Lepisosteus oculatus: one gene and its partner. The protein of the gene in region 1 purifies or fractionates together with the protein of each later gene. This does not show direct contact. Links are inferred from orthologs where the notes say so. Each region holds a gene or a part of one and is shown on either strand. Other genes may lie near its edges. The genes, in order: reps1 and aak1b.

What was found.
Region 2: the proteins of reps1 (region 1) and aak1b purify together in Homo sapiens (affinity purification with mass spectrometry; 3 studies listed by BioGRID and IntAct, counting the BioPlex papers as one, with this or other methods). This does not show direct contact. The link is inferred for Lepisosteus oculatus from reciprocal best matches to the Homo sapiens genes REPS1 and AAK1.

What each region holds. Positions count from the first base shown.
Region 1 is NC_090697.1:20,321,429-20,331,311, forward strand, and holds the start of reps1 (ralBP1-associated Eps domain-containing protein 1), read left to right. Parts: upstream 1-5,804; 5' UTR 5,805-6,192; coding exon 6,193-6,345; intron 6,346-9,407; coding exon 9,408-9,531; intron 9,532-9,883. UniProt on the Homo sapiens protein: May coordinate the cellular actions of activated EGF receptors and Ral-GTPases.
Region 2 is NC_090697.1:72,602,359-72,611,737, reverse strand, and holds the start of aak1b (AP2-associated protein kinase 1), read left to right. Parts: upstream 1-5,155; 5' UTR 5,156-6,163; coding exon 6,164-6,326; intron 6,327-9,379.

The DNA of each region.
Region 1 (9,883 bases):
ACCAGTTGTATTCCCAGATCAGTGCTATGGTGTTTCAGAGAGGTAGTCTTTTTTTCTGCATCTCAGCTGTGTCAGCACTAAGGATTCCATGAAAAACATGACTCTTGATCCACCCAGTAAAGTTTTTGACTTGGTCTTTTAGTGTATTATTTTCCTCTTTATATAATACTGTAACGCTTACGGCCGACAGGCACTGTGTAAGAGCCGGCGTACCAGAACAGGTGATGTCACCGCCCTTCCCTGTGATAGCAGGACCACAGCTACTGGGCTGTGGAGAGATCTCTTTTTAGCTCACGGGGCTAGGTCACTGCAGAGAGACGCGGAAGTCCCGGGTTCGAGCCTCCAGTCGGGATGGGGCCGACCAGATCCGGCAAGGGCGCCCGCCTGAGCCCCCGTTGCGTTACAATACTCACATCTGTATTATACAGTGTTATTAATTAGAGAGTTACTAATTAAATCAATTTCACTTAAGTAGTACCTATGTTTGCTTTCAGGTATCTTCTGGTAGTTTCTAAATTGTACCCAGTGATAAGGCTGATCCTTATGCTTAAGTACATAAGGGTGCCCATATTTGTTAACACACTAAATAATGAATCCCTACATTTCTTATTAAAAGATATAAGTTATATAATGTTATTCCTCCTGAAGTGACTCCTCTGTCATGTCAGAGTGCTATTAACTAATGTTGTATTTCCCAGCACAATTCTCTGTTAGCCATACAGTATTTCTGTGATTTCAGTTATATGATAATTTTATGCTGTTGCAGTTGCTTCTATGCCTTGAATTTATTATACCAATTCTCCATGCATAGGAGCAACAGTATATTTCCATAATGTGGGAAATAACCCTATTTGTCATAGACATGTTCAAAATATTACAGAAATAAATATGCAGAACAATTGCAAAATTTGCCCATAAACCTTTTATTTACAGTAAAAAATAAATTTGTAGGTGGCCCATCCAACTCAAATAAAAAGAAACCAAATAATTACTTTTTTATTACAAAAATGTACCTAATCATTTGCTCTAAAATACTCTATTAATGAATAACATTATGGCAAACATCATTGCATTTATGAAATGTTTTAGTTGAATCAAATACAAATAAGGAAATGTGCTTTAATGATGCATACATAGTAGTTTTTATTTCTCCTTTTACTGTAGATACTGTGATGTACGCTTCAGGGAAAAAATACATTTGACTAATTTTCTTCTGGCTTCCTCTCCAAGTCCTTGTTAGTGTATTCCCCTGTCTCCTGTGCTCTTTATCGATGTCTTTTTCCTTCTCACACTCTTGATCTCTCATTGCTGGTTTCTCTGCTGCCACAGCCAACATGTGACTCATTTGCCCTTGAGCCCTTGGAAAGCAAACATGATTGATCAGTTTCTTTGGCCAGAGATTAAATGTGGCACAATGATGTGGTTATTAGTTTCTTTGAATAAAATAAAAAAAGCTTAAGAAATGTCCTCTTATAAATCACCTTTTGTTTTTTCTGACTGCTGGAAAGATAGAAAACCTGGATTCATGCTGGTTAAACATAATTAACTATAATGTGGCGTTCTAGGGCAGTTTTCATGCTTCTACAGTATAAACTACTCTTTTTATTACTAAGTTTTTGGAGTAAATTCCATTATTTTATTCACTAAGTAAAACCTATAAAATAAAAGTAAACCTACTACACACAGTATATACTTCTTAAAGATTGTTACCAGTCAAAATCTTCCAAACACTCTTTTATATGTAACTCAAAGTAAATCAAGAGAAGCCAGTGTTTGGACTCCCTTTTTATTCCATTGTACGACATTACTCAAAATAATTCTTAGTCAATTAAGTGGAAGTGTCAAATAGGACAACAGATGCAACAGAATTAAGCAGGATTGAAATAGATTGTTTATTTTGTGTTTCTGATAAATTCATGTGAGTACAGTAAAATCTTTTTTTTTGCTTTTTTGTTTTAGCATTTAGATGTTCTGCAATGTTCAAATTGAAGTTAAAATAATTAAAAATATTTAAAGGCAGTATTAGAATGAATGCGAATACAAAAGCCTCACTCCCCTTCAAACGTGCTCTTGTGGCTAGAAAAGGAAGACGGTATACATCCTGTTTGTGGTTCAACCTTCTCTTCTTCTTACAGAACAATGGAACAATGTTCAGACGGCTAATGAATGTCACAGGTCATGACAGCCATTAGAGGAACAGATTGTGAATTCTAGGATTAAGTAATTTTGGAACAGCGGGCACATTTGCAGGCTTATCTTTTGTTTCAAGAATATTAATGGACTTTTTTTCTTTTTTTCTGCCTTTCTTTTTTTTAATTATATAATTTAAGCATGCCCAAAGGGTTTGGGCAACCAGTTGACCTTGGTCCCTAGAGGTGTTTTTCTCCTTACTAAGGAGTTTTTGGTTCCTCTCCTCCATTGTCTTCTGGTCGTTTCTGTTCTGTATTCACAACATGAAGGGTTACTTGCTTTGTTAAGCGCCTTGGGGCAACCTTGTTGTGAAAGGTGTTATATAAAAATTGAATTGAATTGAACTGAATTGGTTTTCATTAAAAAAAGTATAATTTGCTTCTAAATGTGTAACTTAAAAGTATATTAAGAAAACTGTCAGAATGCATTCTTCACATCAACTCAATATTTTCTTTGTACCATTTTTCAGGGAAGAAAGATAAAGGCAGTACAGAACTGCCTTCTAGCAAGTTTTAGCATAAAGCTAAACTCAGAGAAGATGATGACAGTAGTTGAAAACTACTGACAGGATGATGATATTGGGACAAATTAACTATTTATCACACTACAAAATATGAAGAACTGCAATTGCAAAACAGTGGTATTAACAGAGAAGGGCATCAGTAAGAAAAATGATAATGATAGCTCTGCACTCTGACAAAGATTAACCACTGAAAGGACCGTCGCCATTGGTAGGCTTCTTTATGCTATCGATATCTCACAATTTCACCTCTTGTCTATATCAGTGAGGACAAATGAAAGTTAAATCTAAGGACAGAACTAACTAACTTGTACTAGGAGGTAGAACAAGAAACAACATCAATTGATACAAATAGAGAATGGGACATGCTGATTTTCAGAAGGTTTTAGATAAAGTAACTAATACAAGATTAGTTTTTACTTTGTAAACAGTAGGCATTGCGTTCAAGTTACTGTGTGTTATTGGATTAAGAATTTGTTAATGGAAAGTAATGAGAGGGTACAGATAATTGATGAATACATAAATTGGGATAATGAAATTCTTTATTCCAATTTAATCAATTGGATTAAAAGGTGGATGCTGCACATTGGTGGTGGTGGAGGGTAATCCCCATTACCTGTAAAGCGCTTTGAGTGGAGTGTCCAGAAAAGCACTATATAAGTATAAGCAATTATCAATTATTAATCATCAATTATCAATCATTAATTATTAATTATTAATTATTAATTATTGTTATTATAGTTTTGCCCTCTGAAGGTACACCTGCTATGGCACCTTAGAGGCAGTCAGACATTGGCAGCCTGTCATTCTCTTTGGATGTGAACAAAAACATTGGCATACAGTCCCACTTTACTTTTATTTTATTCTTATAATGAGTTACCAACTCACAGTGAATTGGAAGCATCAATCATGAGAGCTGAAAAAAAATGTCACCTCTTTTGTTTGTCTATTGCTTGTGATGTTTATTATGGACGTGTGTTTTTTTTATAAATATAATATCCATTGTTCAGTTGTCATTAGTTACCCCCTCTAGATGCTTAAATTCAAGATATAGTTGAAACCTTTGTACTTTAATAAATATATTTATTCATTTACTGTGGCTTTGGCAAGCGTCTTCGCTCTCGTATTACCTACTGTATGTTTTAATGGATTTGTGGCTTTCTGCGTCCCTGCCATTGGACTGCCCCTGCCCCTTTCCCTTTCACCTTTGATGAGGCTCACTTCTTCCTCTGCTTCACCTTATATAAGGGAACGGAAGCTTCTGTGCTCTTTTTGTCTTCATCGCTGTTGAGCAGATGCCCCTACACTATATCTTTTTCTTTCTGCTTCTAGCACTTTCGCTGGCACAACCTGCAAGCCCCTCTATAAGCAATAAACCTGTGTGAGCCTGATTCATTTTGATTCAATGCAAGCTTTATTATCCCCCGGGGGAAAATTGTTTTATGGCAGAGTCCAACCAAACAATACAAGAGAAACAAACAGTCATCACCAACAAGACTACAGTACACATAGTTATAGGAGTTATAAGAGTTATTTTACATTGGATGGGAGTGATATTGCAGAGGGGATGAAAGATGTCTTTAGTCTATGATCGTTACACCTTGGGACATAGAAGTGTCTCGGAGATGGGGGATGTTTAAATTCACAAACATATTGCTCTTACAATTTACGGTGCCGAGGTGCCAAACCATCAAGTAAGATACTGTAGTATTGTAAAAACACTTTCAACACTTTATTTGTAAATTGTTTTTAGTTCCCTCTACCTTAAAGAAGCCAAGCTTCCAAAGAAGAAAAAGTCTCTATTAACCTGTTTTGAAATGATATCACAATATGGATTTTTGTCTATTACCAGTCCCAAGTTCTTGAAGTTGTTGGTCAGCTTTAATCACAGTAGGCTGGGGGAAATGTTAATTTTTTCCTAAAACTGATGATTAGTTCTATTGTTTCCAGAATATTTAACATCAAAGCGAGCTCATCACACCACTTAGTAAAATCATTCAGAATGAGCCCCTGATGATTTTCCATTTCCGTGTAATAAGGTGACCAGGGCTGTGTCATCAGAAAACTTAATGAAATGTTTGTCTGTGTGTTTGCTCTTACAATTGTTAGTGTACAAAATGTACAATATGGGAGAAGAGATGCAGCCCTGTGGTGATCCAGCTCCTGTTGTTCCTTCTACACCAGCTGACACTAGGTAAACTGAAGTATTATGTGGTGTGTAAAGGGAAAAGCATATTTTCAATATCTGTGGATCTGTTTACAAACAATATAGCCTTGTGACCCTCGTAATCTTGACAGCTCAGAGCTTCCTCTCATCTTCCATATGACTGCTCTCTATGTTTAGTTCTTGTGCATTTCCCTTTTCTGACACATTTGAACAAAAAGCAGTGTGTTGCTGGTATTTTTGTAAGCACAAGGCATATGCCTTTTCAGTGCTCATCCTTTTCTTTTTAATATTTGGTGCAAAAAACCTAAGTGTATAGCGAAAATCTACACACACTCACACTTGTTCTGTTAGTTGACAGGGTGATGAGGCTGTATGTCCACTTGCAGGTGGAGAGACTATTACAAAATTCCAATTCACACAGACGTATAAGGTCAATATTTTAACATTGTTTCAAAATTGTAAATAAAAATAATGCAGTTTACTTAATTAATTTATTTTTATAGGTGCACTGCTTTTTAAATATGCCCTGAATATTTGCTGCCTTTTATACGTTAATATAAATAATAAATAATATAGGGGGCAGTTGATACAGATCACATAAACATGGGATCTTAACACCAAATATAAATAAAAAAGTTTATTGGTATGTTCCTTCCTCAGGGTGACTCATTTTCGCAGCAGCTAGACGGTTATTATTTGAGGCTAGGCGTGGTAAAGAAAGAAAGCTGACTCGTCACTTTTCATGTAACAGGAGATGCTGCTTCACTGCCGTATCCATATGGACACTGCACAGAACCAGCAGCTGCTCCAGTTGCTGGCATGCAGTAGCCATGCCCAGCCCGCATGCCTGGCAGACGGGGCGACTGACTGTGTTGATACGCTCCATCCGGGTCTTCTCTCCTCCTCCCCCTCGCAGTCCCGAGACCTTCGCTGACTCGCTCTGTCTGTGTAGTGACGTCACGGGGCGCAGGAATGGCGGCGCTGGCTGTTAGAGGAAGGAGCCCAGAGAGCCTGAAACTTTATTTATACCATCAATCACTGAATTAAAAACGAGAAGAAAGAAAGAGAAGGAGAAACTTTACACAGCTACGGAAGGAAATACACGGAACTTTATCCAGTACCGCAGGCCTTGTGATTATCGACGTTTTGGGGGTGCTGGCTCACTTGATGTAGCGGTGCATTTGTGAAAGAAATCCTGCCCATTTCTTTCTTTTATTTTTAAAAGTTTAATTTTTCCCTTCTGACCTTTTGGTGCGGGGGATCGGTGGATATTTCGTCTCTGGGCTTTTAGCCGTTTGTCTTTTTTTATACTACCATGGAAAGTTTAACCCTAAGTGATGTGGAGCAGAAATACTACTCGGACTTGTTCACCTACTGCGACACGGAAAACACCAAGAAAGTGGCTTCAAACGGCAGAGTCCTGGATCTCTTCCGAGCGGCCCAGCTGCCCAGCGAGGTGGTCCTGCAGGTATAAACAGATCTGCCCGAACCGTAAATAGCCGACATAGCGGCGAAACTTTCCGCAGCACGCCTGGTTGAAACCGAGGTCGGTTTTAAACTGGGGGGTAGGCTTGGCGTTGACAATGTAGATCTGCCTACCGGCGCTCTTCCGTTTATTGCTAACTTCACTCTATTAGGTTTGTGGGATTTGGTTAAATCAGACGTGAAGTCTTACAGGCAAATATTTTGATAAATAATGTGCATGCTACGTTTTAAACGAGTAATGTTGACTATTTGTAGGTGGTGCGTAAGAGAGAGAGATGAGAGAGTTTCATTCTTAATGAGTGATTTACTCCTATTAGACTCGCACTGTTTTGGGCAAGTGCTTTTTAAATCACGCAGAATTAAATAGTTTATTTTCGCTCATCGACATCTTCCAACAGCAAGCCGCCAGTTCTTAAATGTGCACGATGTTTCTGGGGGGGTATTAAACCCCTTTTGTATAGGTGTGGCTATGGAGACGTTGCCCCTTTCCTTTTTTTTTGATCACGAGATGATTTCTCACCACATGAAAACAACTGTTTAACGGACACTCGGGAATCATTTTGTTCCATGTTACACATCTGTACACCCAAAACCTTCATTTTAGTATCTGACTATATTATATATGAACCTGGTCTGTAGTTCTGTGGCAGTGAGCAGCTTCCGGCCTACTGCTTTAGCGTCAGAGCATCGATAGGCATGATACCACACTGATTTTAGGGATTGGATGGTTGGAAAATTGTGTCGCGGCTGGTACCTATTTTTTTCTTGTTCGTTTGAAAAGTGTAAATGTAACTATTAGGCCCTTCAACTAGTGTACTATCAGTGCACACCCAATTACTCGGAGGCTAGGAAAAAATGGATTTGAAGTCCAAACAACAGCTGAAATCAATTCATCACGTCATTTATGCTAAGCATCTTGTGTTCTCATACATATACGTGCTGGTGGCTGATGTATTGTCTTGATTCAGTGTCCAGATGTTGAAGAACCGATAACAGGCTGAATTAAAAGAAATGGGATCTTGAGCTAGTCAAAACACTTTGTCACATGCATGTTTTAAGTAGCGGATGCTTGTTTTGCTGAATGCACTCAAGCAGTGCATAGAATTCCGACTCACTAGTGTCAAAGGGGTGTGTCGGGTATTGAGGATTTTTTTAAGTGTCAGTACAGCACGTTTAGTCACGTTCTGCCACTTCATGCTGTTGCAGCGGCTGATGAGGCAGATAAGAAATCGCTAAGCGAAAACACGTTTTGTTGGGCAGCAGTTTTGAATCCCTCTTGAGTTAACACCGGTGATACACAGGTCAGTTGATGATTCATAAGATGCAACGCGTTGTTCAAGTTAGAACGGGTCACATGATCCCAGAACACAATTTGTTTTTCGCACTGAGTACTTCTTACGTTTAGGGGACTTCCATGCAGTTAGGTTTACCCCGGTCTTGAATATATTCTTTCAGTTTAACTCTCCTGTTGACACACATTTGCAATTTGGTCGTGGATCTTAAGTCTGGAAAGTTTTCTGTAAATGCATGGAATTGTTTTAAAATTTTATACAATTCATGAGTAGGTGACTGACAAATAGTAACTCGTGAATCATGATTTGAAATCTTTCCAATTTTGCCATACAGTAGTAATTATTAAATGGGGAATGTTTTTAACACTCGATTTCATATTAAAAGTCAATGAGTGTAAATGTGTGAAATTGTGAGTAGTAACAGCATACTAAGAAATTCAAATAATGAAGACCCTTATGTGAAACAAATCTCCACATGTTGTTCTGTCTTTAGTATTTTTGTAAGTGCCTTTATTTACAGTAGAGCTATTCACACACCTGTAGGTATTAGATTCGGTTTAACGTATAAGAGGACGTTTTACTTTTAGACACTTTTGTTTTTGACTTTTTGCACAATATGTTGACTTTTTAATTTGAACATTGGGGATAATTTTCTTTCTAATAGCGGAATTGATCTTGGGATCAACCCTGTTGTTGTCTTGAAGGAAGCCAGGTTTTATGTTTTAGAGTTTCACATTTTTAACTGGATAACTTGTTCCAGGCTCCTGCACCCCATTTTGCAAACAAAATGTCTTCTGTCTCAGTATTTATGGACTTACTTAGCTGGACATCATACAGTTTTACTGAATTCCAAGATTTCACTGAGATCTGGATACAACTGGGTAAGCTCACATTGAGCATGCCTTATGTAATGTTTTTTCTTCATGATCGCAAGTGATATTTTGAGCATAACTTGGAGTCTGCTCTTTTATTGCAAGAAAACTAAACTAGAGGGCCCAAAGTTTGATTGTTAATTGCCAGCTGTTCAGCTGTATGATTAAAGCAGTAGTCAGATAGATTCTGCAATAGATGCATTTTTCATCAGGGCTAAATTTGTCTGTTTCCTTGCAAAATCCCAGCTAAATTATAAGGCATCCCAGACACAGCATTTGGCATGCAACCCCCTGAGCTGGTACATTCTTCTCATTCTGGTAGGAGTTTTATTTGTATTTGAAAACTGACCAGGGGCTTCCTGTGTTTAATAACATGTTTGACGGTACCTGTGTTAGTCTAGACATTTGCATCTGTTTGTTATAAAAGTACATTACATTTTGAGTGTACACTGATTTTTTTTTTGTAAAGGGCCATTGTATTTTATTTCAGATTAAATATGTTATTAGATATTAAGTGATGCTGTTCATGTTTTTTTTTCTTCTGAATTTATCAGACTTCTTATAAGATAAATAAGATGCTTTCAGTAGTTCTGAAATACTGATATTAAAGGCAGAACAAATGGGTTTTCTTCCCAACAGAACTGGAAAGGTGAAAACATGAAAGAACAGATTGATAAATAGGTATTGTATTTCTTATAAGTAATTTAAAATGTTATTACTAAGAATTAGACTGTCACATTCCTAGAGTATTATGTTAAAGCTAACAACCACACCTTTCTAGGTTTTATTTTGTGTAATCTTAGAACAGTAAAAGAGTGAAAAAATGAATGTTATGTAAAAAGGTCCTCTGAATATCCCAAAGGCTTTCATTTGTCTTCCAGATCACTGAACTATGTGGTGCAACTCGTCTTGGATATTTTGGACGAAGCCAGTTCTACATTGCATTGAAACTCATTGCTGTTGCACAGTCTGGACTGCCACTGCGGGTAGAAAGCTTAAACACGGGTAAGATGAGACTGGAATCCCAGAAGAATTGTTTTAGCTTAATTTTGTTTCTAAAATTTAGTGTTTTCATGATTACAATCAAAGCATGTCTGCATAGAGGATCTGTTTTTATTCTGAAGAGCTAATCATGTTTTTTTTGCCTCACTCTTCACCAGCAGTCACCTGATGGAGGCTTTATTGTTTTCAGGAGGTTCTGTCCCCATCCTGTTCAGCCTGCACATTTCCAAAGGCACTTCATAGAACTCCTGACGTTCCAAAAATATTGTTATGCTTAATTGTTAGATCACAATATATATATATTCATAGAAATCTATAGTGTAAATAAACATGGGGTTTAATTACATTGTTAAAG
Region 2 (9,379 bases), about 52 Mb from region 1:
CCTACAGGTAATGTCTGCACAGGTGAGGCCCGAGGAGACACGGAACGGAGGTCAGGGGCTGAGCACTCCTGATTTGAATGGGTGGTTCTCTCCTTCCCTGCCGAGCCGGGGGTGAGAATGCAGGGGCCCTGGGGGTGCAGGAGGGGAGAGGCGGAACAGTCTAGAGACAAGGGCAGAGAGAACAACACGTACACTGCATTATGGTTTGGTTTGTCGCCCTATAAAAGCAAATGTGTAAATGTCCCCCAGTGTCTCTGAGAATGATTTATTAGTAGAAAACTATTTCAGTCTGATGAGGATGCAAATCCCTTACACAAGGGTGTCCTTTTTGCATACTAGCACAGTGACATGAAGGAAATGTAGTGAAATGAATGGATGTGTTTTTTGCAGTGTACATTAGATGCACTTTAGCAGCTCCCCACCTGACAGTAGGGTGTCCCTTTATACAGTATATCTGTGATTCTATAACTGTGTATACAATGTATCAGACTTCTCAATAGTTTTCTTAAAGGTTATTCTAGATGCACAATACAGAAAGCATTATTTGCTGTAATGTTTGGTACTTTATTGAAATTCTCCTTCTTGTATAGCACCACACCCACAATAACATGTGGAGTTGTTGACCTGGTTAATTCTGCACTTTTAAGGGAGTTTCCTTCACAGACAGGGTAAAGGAATCAAATCTCTTTTGCCTCAGAAACTATTACCGATGGACCTGCGACAAGCTTTCAGAATCCTGAAAAGTATTCCCAAAACCAGACAAGTGGATTTGAGGATCCACGAAATGCAGACCAGAGAACACAAGTGCAAAGTAAATGAGGCATTAAAGATCTGGAACAAGAGTTTTACAAAAATGTCGAGGGAGTCTGAAACAAGCCATTTGCTGAATCTGATGCCATGAATAAAACTCTTAAAACAAAATGGCATTAAAAATAAATTAAATGGGCTTTTCTTTTGTTCTTATAAACAGGTAAATGCTTTTTCTTCATGTAGAGTGCAACAAGCAGCTTACGAAAGTAGTCCTAGGGGTTTGAATATGCAAAACAAAGCAAGAAACTACCCTTAAACAAATACTGTAATAATCAGTTTCCCTGTCCCATCATGCCTAGGCTGGACACGTGCTACACTTACAGGTAGTTGATATCATTCTGTTAATAGTGATATTACTTGTGCTGTGTCAATACAGAGCTTTTTATGTGGACAATATCAATGTTTTAGCATAACTATGTTCAATGTTGGAATCACTTGAAGATACAACATGACAGTCTAAGAATAAAGATTAAATGAATGACTGAATACATACAGTATTTAAGTAATAAACAGTCCACTTTTATAGACTCTGGCTCCTGTGTCCCTGAATTGGATTAAGTGATTAGACAGATGAGTAGATAGTGGATAGCCCACTTTAAGCAGTATTAAAGTACTTCTTAAAATAATGAATTATTCCATGACTGATATTTTAGTTTTGTTTCACATTTCAGACCATATATCATATACTGCAAGTAAAAAATGTTTAATCTGTCTAATCTGTTTACTTACTGCATTGTCTTGTAATTGTAATTGTCACATAGATCAATATAAAAGTATTTATTTAACACTGTTTTTCTGAGCTTTATTTTTATCATATTTGTCAATGATCTATCCCTCATACTTCAAGTGTGTTGTAGACTTTCTTCACAGAGAAAAAAGAGAAAGCAAGAGAGTTCCTTTAAACATGCTGGAGCTCGAAGGCCTGTTACAAATCACCAAAACGAAAAGAGGCTCGGGCTAGGCAGCTTGTCGGACAGGTGTTGCAGTCCAGCTGTATTATAAGAGCTGTTAGTCAGGAGTCTTATCAGAAGATGGTCAAGCTGAAGAAAATTATCTCAATAGGAAAGAGGGTTATAGAGAAGAAGGTCTAGTCCAGGTAAATAAGCATTACCACCAAACATCACAGGCTCTTAGAGTCTTAAAATGTCAGATCACAGAAGGTAAACATGCCTGGGTGTGGTCAGTACCATGATGGTAGATCTTTAAGGAAAACCTGATGACTCCTGGAAGCGGTGTAACCGGTCTGCATAAGAACAGGCTGCAATTACACAGGGACTACCAGTAGAGGCCGCCAAAGGTACTCCAATTTGTGTGACACGACTCCAGCTGTTGACTTTTAGATTGTGGTGAAGGAGATGGAGAAATACACTTTCTCGCTGGCCTTTTCTTGTATGTTCCCATCCAGGGAGACCACGGTATTTGAGGGTAGGCTCTACGGATGGTGATCTTGGCAGCACTCTTCCACTCTTTTTTAAACCACAGTTTCTAAAAACCAATGCCCCATTACAGTGACCTGGGACACTGTGCTGTGGGAAGTTGAGATAAGATGTTATTCTGTTCTGGATTTGTCAGACAACCTGGCCTGCTTGATGTTCCCTCTTAATTAAATTGATTAAGCAATCTGCTCACTTATCTTCCAGTTCTGTTGAGTAGAAGGGCTGCTGATACTGTACATAAAGATTATCATGCATCATTTTAAGGATCACCCTAACTCACTCACAAGGTGCAAGGCACTAATCAGATTCTGTTTTCATGGACCTCTTTCCCTGGTACCAGTTAGAACAATGCTATTTATATTATTATCCAGACTATTAATTTTGCCGGATAACACAAATAAAAATGTCACATAACTACGTGCATTAAAACTACTTTGAAATATTGCGTGTAATACAGTACATAGAAGATTAAAAACGCATCCAGCTACCTGGGACTGCTGACTACAGTCCCCAGTCGTATGATATAAATAAATTAAAGCTCATTATTTATAATTAGATTAATGACGTAACTGAGACTTCATATGAGATGGGCAAAAACTAGAAAACCCTATACAAGTCACAGACTGGAGCCTGAGTCCCCATTGTTAATGTATGTGATCCATGTAGGAAATACACTTTTGTATTGTACTGAATGGAACTGCACACTGTGACTGCATGAGATGCTTTTTGAAAAAAAACACACACACACCACAGAAAGAACAAAGACACAGGCTCCACCTGGTCTGGAATGAATACCTCAATATACCTTTGAGATATCCCCCCCCAGAATTAATATTTCATATTTTCCCAGTCTGTTTTGAATAGGCTTGACACACTGAGAAGCATGGGTCTTGTGTTGCTTTTAATCAAGTCAGAGTCGTAGAAGTAAAGAATTCTAGCTGTAGGGATTAAGAGGAGTTGCTTATTGCTGACTGTTTTTCAGTAAAGAAATAAGATTTCAGTGACTGTTAATGAAGTACATAGTAATGTTTAGGTTACAGTTTACTTTATACATGACTAAGTGAATGACTACATTGTTCTACTTCAATATTATATTGAATATATATATATATTTAGGAATATATTAGGTATATGGCTATTTAACATTCCAAATATTGGAATATTAATAACTACTGATGATCCTCATACTGCTAATAATAATTCAGAAAGAATAAAAGTATAGTGTACTAAATTCAAAGGCCATTTCCTTTACTCAACACAGAACATAAGCAGTGATGTGATGGCTCCCTCTTAAGGACGTTTTACGCTGTTACCTAGCAGTTATTTTTATATAGATACTTTAATGATCCAGTTAGGAAAATTGCATGTTTATAAGAAAACAGGAAGGGTTACAAACAAGAAGAGGTCATTCAGCCCAACTAGTCTGTTTGTTCATTTGTAGTTGATTGATCTGGGGATTTCAGATGCTGTTTCCTGAATGAAGCCAGCGTATTGGCTTCACCAACTCAGCCAGATAGCTTGTTCCACTCTTCCACCACCCTTTGGGTAAATAAAACAGTCTTCTGTTCTCTGGTTCATGTTTTGCTCTTCATTCTGAAGACGTCCACTGGGCGAGACTTTGTAAAATCCCTTGAAGATTCTGAAAATTTGTATCACATTCCGTTTTAGTCTTCTGTGTTCAAAACTATAAACGTTCAGTTCTTTTATCATGTCAGTGTGGAACATTTTGCTCATGAAGGAGATGTGGAAAATAATATTTATTTCTAATTATACCCTTTTCAGGTCAGTTGCAATAGTAGCACCAACAATAGCATCATTTAAGTAATTCTTATCCTGATTATTGTAATCGGTCATGAGACAGAGTGACTGTCATAATAACGTGCTCTAGTGTACGGTACCATCTGAATATAAAAAGGGATATAGAGAGAACGTGATGCACTTCTTGGTTGAAATGAATCTAGTCCTATATGTGCAGAACTTCTTTTGGGGGTAGAAAAGGCTATACAGATAAAATTATATTTAAAATTAATACTTAAAAGTATCCTAATATTGTTTTCATTTAATTGAGAAATTAAAACCATAAAACATCTATTACTTTTTTTGTTTTATATCGTGATATATTATGTGAATATTAATGCGTTATTTTAGTGCAATATTTATTTTCTACTATCGATGTTTTGTGTATGCCTGTGCATCTGTGTGGTTATATGCAGATACATATATACATAAGGAATTATGACTTTAAAATATATGCAGTATATAGATTATGCGCAGTCATTTATTGATGTACTGCATCGTGAAAGCTAGAAGGCAAAATGGCTCAAAATGTTTGCATTTTTGTGAATTAATTCTGACCGCCCAAGGTCATGGGCGAAGATCAGACAGAAAGGGAAAAAGAGATAGTCTCGGGTTCGTTCATTCATAGTATTCATTCCAAGATGTGGCCTTTCTGTTAAAACTGCAACATCTACACCAAAAACGACAATACCCAGTTGGTTATATATACACATATTATGAATTGAGGACTACACTACAACCTATTCATGTCGCTTCAGAAAGTTTCTAAGGATAGTCGATACCAAACGATATCCAGAGTTTTTCTGGTGAGCAAAAAAACACTACGAGTACCACAATGCTTTGAGAGAAAGGGGCTGATTTCTGTCAACATCGTATTTCAAACTACTTTTGAAATGTAATGCATTGTACGAGGCCGACACACGCATACTGCTCTGTACAATGATTTGGTTTATTTTTAAAATTGTATTAGGAAAATGTTTAATCGACTCTAATTGCGGATGGGAGTTGTAGTTCTTGAGTTGTCACTTTGCGCTCCTACTTTCCTCACCCAGTGGGTGTAAACCAGCCCGGGACTACAATTACCATCCTTCGCCGCGGAGTGACAGTAATTCAGATTATCGTCTTTATTTTTATTTTCAGATTTTAGGAAAGACGATATCGCGTATCTGCAGTGAATCTCAGTGCACCGAGGCCTAAAAATGCGATAGAGTGGAGAAGTTGTTTTTTCCATTTCCTGTTTTGTTGTATTTCCTGGTATGGGGACGAGCCGCTCAGCTGTTTTTTAAGAGCAAACCTAGACGTTGAAATAAACCAGAGGGGGTTTGGGAAAAAAAGGGCTCTGGTTAATTGGGAATTCGTACATAAAATAAACCCCACAGAAGAGGCCGAAAAGGCTTTGAAGAAATCGTGAAAGACAAGATAAATATACCATACTGATGGCAGGGCTGGAAGGAGAGATTTTCGAATAGAAACAAGCATCCGAACTGGGGCAGGATTTTTTTTTTAAGCTACACAATCATTGCACCAGTTCGCTCGCATCCCTGGCTGGCGTGATGAAATGAGTCTCTACCCATGCCTTATTTACCAAGGCTCCGGGGAAGCAATGGAGAAGACGCTGTTTTAAGCTGAGAAGGGAAGAAAAGAATAAAAAAAGATCGCTTAGCTTTGCTATTGCAATAATTGTATTTAACGCCTGAGCATCTTAGCGACATCGTCGGAAGGGGGTAGCTTTTTAATTTTCTTTATTTTTTTTTTATTTATTCGTCATGGATTCGGCCACTTGCTTCTGGGGCGCCTAACCAGTTTAACCTTGGGCTTTTCTTACGTGGAAGATAGGAAAGTGACAGCCGTATTGCAAGGGGCTGTTTTGCCAAAGCATAAGCAGACAGGATCCCTTTGGCACGTTTTCAGGTTCAGCTGAATAGCTGTCATAGCCGGGACACTCGCCGGATTTGGCACTTTTGGCGCTGCCAGTGTTATACCGCCTTCACACCGGAGCTCGAACCTGGCTGGGGCGGACCGGGACGTTTCCTTGGGATTGCTTTCTCTTTTCGCACATTGAACTTCTTTCCTCCTCCTCCTCCTCCTCCCCCCGTCCCGTCGTCCGACTGCCGGGGAAGATGAAGAAGTTTTTCGACTCTCGTCGGGAGCAGGTCGGCTCCGGCCCGGGCTCCGGCGCCGGCGGAGGCGGCGGGAGCGGGTCCGGCGGCGGCGGCAGTTACATTGGAAGGGTGTTCAGCGTCGGACGGCACCAGGTCACGGTGGAGGAGACGCTGGCGGAAGGTGAGAAACGGCCCGGGCACCCTCAATAGCTGCTGCTTTGTCAGTGTGGTTGATGTTCACACGCTAGCAAGTCACCGCTCACCGCTTTTCTGCAATGGGATGGTTAGCGCGTTTTCCACCTGAGGGCTGTTTGGTGAACTCTACCCTGTGGGCGCCACTGTGGACGTTGTCTGGGACTGGGCTCCGTCATACTGCAGTGCATGCTGTGTATGTGAGCCTAAAATATAGATCAGGCTTTAAAACCACTAACGGGTCCATACATGCCACACAGGTGCAGAGCACTTTAGCACTTGCACCCCATCTATAATAATCTTAGATAAGATTTGATTGTAAAGCTTGGACTCAGCTCCCTCAGTCGAGAGACCACACAGACCAGATCCTTCCTGTTCTTGTTTGGCCAAGCATTTTTGCTCTTTATGTGTGGAAGCTTATGAGGTGCTCCCCAATAGGAAACGGGGATTCTCAGAAGCACCCCCTACTTCTGCAAGAGTGGGAGGGGAAAAGTGTGAACCCCTTCACCTGATAATTCCCTGAGATTTTGGGCCCATGTGTGATGAATGAACACGGAGGAGGTGGGCAGGTCCATGTTGTTGTCTTCCTCTTTCCTGTCGCTCCGTTCCTTAGTCATCATGACATTATCTTGGTGAGTGGTTTTCTTGTTGCTGATACTTTGCGGTTTGCTCTACGTGTTGCTAATGAGCGACACCCTCTATTCGGCACCCCTCCCCACACCAGAAAAAAACCCAACAGATTGTCACAATAACTTCTGCAGGAACATACCAAGAACTGTGCATGCAGCAGTCTTATGAAAACACACTCACACATGCAAGTGGAGATATATCACACAAAGAAAAGGGTACTAGGTGTTTCCTCTAGAGAATCTATAAAGTTCGTTGAGGGTTAGCGTTAGTATTTGGATTGTGAATGAAGGAAAAGGTAAATGTATTGAACATATGCCCTGGAATCATCGGAGAGATTCTTGTAAAACTTAAACACATCCATATACTCAAAAAAAGGCTTCTCAGGAGACTGACACTGAGATTTTCTGAGACCGAGATATAAATAACACTCCCCATGTTAAAGCATTTCCAACCATTCCAGGGTTGAATGCTCCTCTGTATGACTCAACACGAGCTGCTGGATGTTTCATGCTGCTTACCTTTTTTGGGATAAGATGTGGAGTGCAAATATGAAGGAAAGTTCTTTGCCTGGTTAATTAACCGAGTTGCAGAAGCAAATCCGCACTAAGTTCAAAAGGCGAATTCATACGTTCTGTATGACATGGAGCAAACCAAAAAAAAAAATGAAACCGTGCTCCTTCAGTCACAATCGGTTCCATGAACCTTGTTTTGTGTTATTTGTATTCTACACACCTGTGCCTGCTTATATGCTTACCAGAAACGTCCCAAGCAGCTGTTCTCTCTGGCTTTGATTTTTAGAATTAGTTTAGCGTGTGGTCGCTGGTATATTGATCTGTACAATGCTTTTGAAGTGTCCAGGATAACAAAGATGTTTTGACATAAGATGCATGGTGGAATTAAACGGCCAGCGCTCACCTGAGAATATCTGAGGTGGGTGGAGAGGAACAGCTGGATCTGTGCCACTGGGCTTGCAAGCCAGGATGTCTCCAAGACATTGTGGGCTTCATTCGAATGGCAATTGCAAGGACAGCATGTTCCCTGGTTTCTGCAATATAGCCGAACAGCTACGCCTTAAAAGCAAAATCCAGCAAGTACTGCAGTCAGCAGAGAAGGCCGTGAGCATTCACAGCTTAGGTTCTTGTGTAAACAGCTGTGTGCTGAAAAGGGAAAATAAATTATTCTAAAATAGCTGCGTCGGTGGCAGATTCATTCAAAAATCAATTGCATCAAGTGCTTCAAAAGCAGTGAAAACGGTGCACATACTGTACCTATCCCACAGTAGAGTTAATCTTTAAGCAGAGTATGTAGTGGAACCCTATGGCCAGGGGTAATAATGTTAATGTAATAATAATAATAATGTTAATCATAAGAATGTTTCTTTATTAGCCCTGTACAATTTCTTGCATTAGGAATTCGTCTTTTTGCATACCACAGCTTTTCTCCATGGAGACACAGACACACAGACAGGGAGAGAAGCTTGGGTTCAGAGCGCAGGGTCTGCCATTTTACAGCGCCCCTGGAGCAGTTAGGGTTAAGGGCCTTGCTCAGGGGCCCAACGGAGTAGGATTCCTCTGCCGGCCACGGGATTTGAACCGGCAACCTTCCAGTCACAGGCGCGGATCCTGAGCCACAGAGCCACCGCTCCGCCCTCAGACTCGAGTCTGGAGTGTCTTACCTCTGGAGATCAATGGTTCATGTTCGGGCTGTGAATCTCATTGATTGTGCCTGGCAGTCTGCAGCCAGGAGCTCAGCCCTGGACTGAGCCCTGTAGGACCCGTCCAGTTCTCGGTTCTCTGGACTGGGAGAAGTTGTCGGTGCACTCCCAGCGTGTCCTGTTCTGGATGAGCTGCGCATGTTTTTAGTTGCTATTTGTCGGATCTGTCTGCCATCTCATTTGCAAATCCCAAGGTGCTTCAACCCTGTCAATCCGGTCAGCAGTAAACACAGCTCCTGTGTATCATGGCAGATGCTATAGAAAACGAACTGTACTCACACTGTTTAGTCCCCCTCCATAAGAAACAATTGAAATAAAGCTGGAATGAGAGAGTAGATGTGCCTGTGATGGACTCTTAAAGGAGCACTTCAAGCTTCGCTTCTGGCCCTCCTGCTGTGTGTCTTGCTGTAATGTGCGATGTTCTGTTTTATGATTGTTTCAGTTTTCAGTGTTGATTGATCGAAACTCTGGTGGCAAACACATTTCTTTTTATATTCTTTCTAAAGACACCACCATCCTTAATTGAAATTGACATTAAAGCAAACTTAATTACAGTTATGTTTATGCTACCAGGGCTCTCAAATTTATCAACACATCAGATAAACCTGTCAGTGATTGAGAGTATCTATTACGTTGTGCTTTTCTTATTGCCAGACTTGTATGGGTTCCCTAGTCTGTCTCTAAGGGCCCCCTGAAAA